Linked DNA regions of Saccharomyces cerevisiae S288C. The protein of the gene in region 2 purifies or fractionates together with the protein of the main gene of each other region. This does not show direct contact. Each region holds a gene or a part of one and is shown on either strand. Other genes may lie near its edges.

Region 1 (3,243 bases), on a different chromosome or scaffold from region 2:
CTCCTCCCATATTCGCAAAAGTAGTAAGGGCTCGTTATATACTTTTGAATATGTAAGATATAATTCTATATGATTTAGTAATTTATTTTCTATACGCTCAGTATTTTTCTGCAGTTGTCGAGTAGGTATTAAACGCAAAAGAAGTCCATCCTTTTCATCATTCAAATGGACATCTTGGCAAAGGGCCCAGTTATGGAAAATCTGGGAGTCATACAACGATTGCAGTTGGCTATGCCACTCCTGGTAAGGAATCATCAAGTCTGATAATTCTGTTTTTTAGCCCTTTTTTTTTTTTTTTCATGGTGTTCTCTTCTCATTGCTTTTCAATTTTAAGTTCGTTACCTTTCATATAGAGTTTCTTAACAGAAATTTCACAACGAAAATATAATTAACTACAGGCATGTAAATATAAAAACAGTCCTTTAATAATAAACCTTAAGCATTACGCGTGTATTAATATAATAAATAGTTATAAATTGAATAAATAGGGGAGAGAAGCCAAAAGGCCCTTCAAAAACAAAGATATAAATTCATCCTTAAAAACAACAATACCTGAAGATACTAGAACACCTTGTCGCCTATGATGGACATATATACAGACCGGGTCATAGCATTGCCAATGATAAATAAATAATAGTCATAGAGAGTAAACATAAACGCCTAACGTATAGGAATGTGTGAGAATGGTGAGTTTCGTCCTTGAAAATAATAATAATAATAGTTGGTGCTTTTATTAGTGCCAAAATCATTTGAGAGGCTTCTGAGTTCTTCGGGGCTAGCTGTTTTTCTGATAGTCTAGGCAAATGCCAAAGATTTCTTAATTTCAGCAATAGCCAAACCAGGATTCAAGCCCTTTGGACAAGTTCTAGTACAGTTCATGATGGTGTGACATCTGTACAATGACATGGAGTTGTTTAGCATGGCCTTTCTTGTCTTTGTAGCTTGGTCTCTAGAGTCAATTAGCCAACGGTAGGCTTGCATTAGCACGGCAGGGCCCAAATACTGTTCTTGGTTCCACCAGTACGATGGACATGAAGTAGAGCAGCATGCACACAGAATACATTCGTAAAGACCATCCAGTTTCTTACGATCTTCAATACTTTGTAGCACTTCCGTTCCATCCTTTGGAAACGATGATCTCTGTAAGTAAGGTTGGATAGATTTGTATTGTTGGTAGAAGTTAGTTAAATCAGGTACCAAATCTTTGACAATAAACATGTGGGGTAATGGATAGATCTTGAGTTGTTTGGATTCGTTCTGGTCGATCTTACATATACAAGCTAGCGTGTTTCTACCGCCAATGTTCATGGCACATGAACCGCAGATACCTTCTCTACATGATCTTCTAAAAGTTAGGGTAGAATCCTGTTCGTCTTTGATCTTTAACAGCGCATCAAGTACCATGGGCCCACAGTCATTCAGATCCACTTGATATGACTGTAAATGAGGTTTAGCACTTGGCTCGTCTGGATTCCATCTGTAAACTTTAAAAGTTTTCAATCTGGGGGTATGCGTAGCTGCAGCTGTTGTGGCAGTAGCCATACCCTTCTTCGTCACCAAACAAAAGGCCTTCCTTCTCAATAGCACGTTCAACATCCCTATAAATATGTATACTCCAGTATTTCAAGAAAGTATAGCTCAACTATATTCCTTTCAATCCCTTCCTTTAGCCTAACATTTTTTGGCATTCTCATAGAAAGTCATTAATCCCCTTATATAAGTTTGCCCTTTTTACACCGGAGCTAATTGGGCCAATGCGAGGCCGCCTTTTGCGCGCTGCGGATATTTCTAAGGCATGGTCGTGCGGAGCTACAATAATACGATTGAATTATAGCTACATAGTGTACAAAAGCGGGTATATACTTTCATATGTGATCATAGGATAGCTTCACAGTACTTATTGTATTCTCTAACAGCAATGGCGATGTTCCTGTACAAGGACCGACGTTCTTCAGGATCGCTGATGGGAATGAAGTATTCGGATTGAGACTTGAGTTTAATTTGAAGACCGGATCTTTCCAATGTAATTCCCTGGATGGAAGGATATCCTGTGCTCCACATAAGCTCTTGGGTGGCCATTTGCACCTCAGCAATGTGCTGCATGGACACAATTACTGCTAGTTCTTTGCCTGGCAATATAACGTGCGACAGGTATTCATCATTCATAAATACTCCTCCATTCACGGTCTTGAGCCAGTATTGTCCTTGGGCCTCACGTAGATCATAAGGCTTGATGATTTGATCATGGTCCACGTACCTTGGTAGACGCACTCTGCAACCCTTTTGCATGTCAAGCACAGTGGTGGTACTTTTCACGCCTTGACTTAAGTTACTTGTAAGATCTAAGAATCCAATGGCTGTCTTAGTTGGCAGCCCAACGATACCTTTACCAAGGCCTTTGAGGAAACCAGCGGCGCCTTCCTTTTGCATGGCCTTGTATGGGTCCAGTGCAATTCCGCTCAACCCGCTTCCCAGTGTGCTGGCAAAGGATTGCGCTGAGTTTGCCAAGGCATTCCTGTTGTTTTTATTTATTCTTTGTTGTAATCTCCTGACCCTTTGGAATTCCAGATCTTGTGTAACTGACAGGCCCTTGGCCATCGACCCCGTAAACTTGGACATACTATCAGAGAGGCCAAAGACTGTTTTCTTTGCAAAACTTAGTCCACCTTTAGCCAGATGTATACCAATTTCTTGAGGCCTATCATTCATCATGTAACCTTGATATGGTTCATAGAATAAGTCCCAGACACCGGAACTAATTGTGTTGAAAAGACCTACAGGATTACCAAAACAATCTGCTGATCCTAAAATTTTGTGGATCTGATACACGAACTGGGTCGTATAGTGTCTCTCAATATGGTCCATCAGAATGGGCAATGGGACTCTTACATTATCCATGAACAAAGAATTAACTTTAACCGGCGCCTCATTTATATTACCTAATGTCATAGCAAACATATGGACATAGTACAATGATGACGAAAATGACTCCTCGGTCTCTTCAGCCAATCCTGGACTAATTTCATCGGAGCGTATAAAGGACAGATGTAAGACGGTGGGCTGAATATGGAAGATCTCGAAATATATATCACCCGCCGTTTTTAATTCAGAAACATCAGGTAACTGGATTTCTTCATCGTACTTATAATCTCTTGAATCCATGATCCATGGGGATCCTGGGAATTTTATGAAGTCCATCATAGCATACAGCATGTCTTCATCTAATTGTATGGAAAATTCCTG
Region 2 (3,030 bases):
CAAAGTACCACTGTCGCCAAGTCCAAAGAGATTAGATTATACGCCTGATGGTTCCCATTTATATGGATCTTCGCTACAAGCTCGATGTGCGTATGAAAAAAGTACTGTTCCAATAATTATCAGGTGCTGCATTGATCGCATTGAAAAAGATGATATAGGCCTGAACATGGAAGGCTTATACAGAAAGTCGGGCTCACAGACTTTGGTTGAGGAGATCGAAAATGAATTCGCTCAGAATAATTCGTTGCATAGTGATACATTAAGTCCCAAACTGAATGCTTTACTGAATCAAGATATTCATGCAGTGGCTAGCGTATTAAAACGATATTTGAGAAAACTACCAGATCCAGTTTTATCATTTTCCATATACGATGCCTTGATAGATCTAGTTAGAAATAACCAACTAATTGAGAGGCTACCATTAAACAACGACAAGTTTTTGGATTCACCACAAAAAGTGACTATTTATGAAATGGTGCTCAAAAGCCTACTTGAAATTTTCAAAATTTTACCCGTAGAGCATCAGGAAGTATTGAAAGTATTGGCAGCACATATCGGCAAAGTTCGAAGGTGCAGTGAAAGAAATTTAATGAACTTACATAACTTGTCGTTGGTCTTTGCACCGAGTCTTATCCACGATTTTGACGGCGAGAAAGATATTGTGGACATGAAGGAGAGGAATTATATCGTGGAATTTATACTTGGAAACTATAGAGACATATTTAAGCAAGCATAATACAGATTTGCAAAAGTTAAATAAACATAGGATAGATTAAATAAGAAATCATATGAAAAAAGAATAAAGTAAGAAAATAGTTCAATGTATATTCGTCAGTTCAGGGTGTGAAAAGGTGGCAATTTTTTTGTTTCCGACCCGTAACAAGTGTTCAATGGTGGTGAAGTCTTTTCTTGGCAAATTTCTATACTTCCCAAATTCTTCATGAATATAATTCACAAAATTAACTTGGTTTTCCTTTGGTTTTGTATGAGCCGTTCGTATGGAAGCCCTATACAGGTGTAAGACTTCTTTTTGTAACCCACTTAATCTCTTAGGCATGCTCTTGGTATTGCGTCTCCTCTTCTTCTTGTGTGTTTAAGCTACATTATCTTTGTTAAGAATAATTTGGCGAACCCCTTTTTTTCTTCGGCTTTGCAAGGTTAATTAATTAACATCTACCAGTTTTACTACATTTTAGATTGGTTCGTCCACCGAAATTTAAAAAAGCAGGATTGAAAGCGTACAACAACGTCTTAGCGAAAAAGATAATCCAAAATTCGATGCTTGTACACCTCATGTAGCTTCCTTATTAACATTTGGTAGTAGGCTTAGGCTATTTTTTGAAAAAGCCGTCATATATTACTTTGAGCCTTTGCGAATCCTCTCCAAAGTGTCGGTTACCTACCGGGAGGGATAACCGCGGATAGCCGTCATTTACCGAAAATTGCCGAGGTCATGCTGAGCATTTGTCGTACTTTTGTGCGGCGGAGCTTTGATACCTTCGGTAAGTGTCGGTATGTAATAGGTTAGTGGCATCTTATTTATTGTGTTGAGTAAAGTTTAAGATATAAACTGGGCTAGTTTGCATCGTCACTACAGCGGCAGCTCACTTTCATTTTTTTTCTGCGTTTATTAATACTACATAAAATCTGATATAAAACATATTTAACTGATCAACCCTCTCAACTTGATACTCAAAACAAGTTGACGCGACTTCTGTAAAGTTTATTTACAAGATAACAAAGAAACTCCCTTAAGCATGGCACCTGTTACAATTGAAAAGTTCGTAAATCAAGAAGAACGACACCTTGTTTCCAACCGATCAGCAACAATTCCGTTTGGTGAATACATATTTAAAAGATTGTTGTCCATCGATACGAAATCAGTTTTCGGTGTTCCTGGTGACTTCAACTTATCTCTATTAGAATATCTCTATTCACCTAGTGTTGAATCAGCTGGCCTAAGATGGGTCGGCACGTGTAATGAACTGAACGCCGCTTATGCGGCCGACGGATATTCCCGTTACTCTAATAAGATTGGCTGTTTAATAACCACGTATGGCGTTGGTGAATTAAGCGCCTTGAACGGTATAGCCGGTTCGTTCGCTGAAAATGTCAAAGTTTTGCACATTGTTGGTGTGGCCAAGTCCATAGATTCGCGTTCAAGTAACTTTAGTGATCGGAACCTACATCATTTGGTCCCACAGCTACATGATTCAAATTTTAAAGGGCCAAATCATAAAGTATATCATGATATGGTAAAAGATAGAGTCGCTTGCTCGGTAGCCTACTTGGAGGATATTGAAACTGCATGTGACCAAGTCGATAATGTTATCCGCGATATTTACAAGTATTCTAAACCTGGTTATATTTTTGTTCCTGCAGATTTTGCGGATATGTCTGTTACATGTGATAATTTGGTTAATGTTCCACGTATATCTCAACAAGATTGTATAGTATACCCTTCTGAAAACCAATTGTCTGACATAATCAACAAGATTACTAGTTGGATATATTCCAGTAAAACACCTGCGATCCTTGGAGACGTACTGACTGATAGGTATGGTGTGAGTAACTTTTTGAACAAGCTTATCTGCAAAACTGGGATTTGGAATTTTTCCACTGTTATGGGAAAATCTGTAATTGATGAGTCAAACCCAACTTATATGGGTCAATATAATGGTAAAGAAGGTTTAAAACAAGTCTATGAACATTTTGAACTGTGCGACTTGGTCTTGCATTTTGGAGTCGACATCAATGAAATTAATAATGGGCATTATACTTTTACTTATAAACCAAATGCTAAAATCATTCAATTTCATCCGAATTATATTCGCCTTGTGGACACTAGGCAGGGCAATGAGCAAATGTTCAAAGGAATCAATTTTGCCCCTATTTTAAAAGAACTATACAAGCGCATTGACGTTTCTAAACTTTCTTTGCAATATGATTCAAATGTAACTCAATATACGAACGAAACAATGCGGTTAGAAGATCCTACCAATGGACAATCAAGCATTATTACACAAGTTC

Evidence for each region.
Region 1: the proteins of SDH6 (region 2) and SDH2 purify together in Saccharomyces cerevisiae (affinity purification with western blotting; 2 studies listed by BioGRID, with this or other methods). This does not show direct contact.

The regions. Positions count from the first base shown.
Region 1 is NC_001144.5:52,336-55,578, forward strand, and holds SDH2 (succinate dehydrogenase iron-sulfur protein subunit SDH2), read right to left. Parts: upstream 1,597-3,243; coding exon 796-1,596; downstream 1-795. Other genes in the region: ATG10 (E2-like conjugating enzyme), read right to left, coding at 1-255; membrane morphogenesis protein VPS13, read right to left, coding at 1,876-3,243. UniProt on the Saccharomyces cerevisiae protein: Subunit of succinate dehydrogenase (SDH) that is involved in complex II of the mitochondrial electron transport chain and is responsible for transferring electrons from succinate to ubiquinone (coenzyme Q). SDH1 and SDH2 form the catalytic dimer.
Region 2 is NC_001136.10:1,232,461-1,235,490, forward strand, and holds SDH6 (Sdh6p), read right to left. Parts: upstream 1,058-3,030; coding exon 818-1,057; downstream 1-817. Other genes in the region: GTPase-activating protein RGA2, read left to right, coding at 1-736; phenylpyruvate decarboxylase ARO10, read left to right, coding at 1,758-3,030. UniProt on the Saccharomyces cerevisiae protein: Plays an essential role in the assembly of succinate dehydrogenase (SDH), an enzyme complex (also referred to as respiratory complex II) that is a component of both the tricarboxylic acid (TCA) cycle and the mitochondrial electron transport chain, and which couples the oxidation of succinate to fumarate with the reduction of ubiquinone (coenzyme Q) to ubiquinol.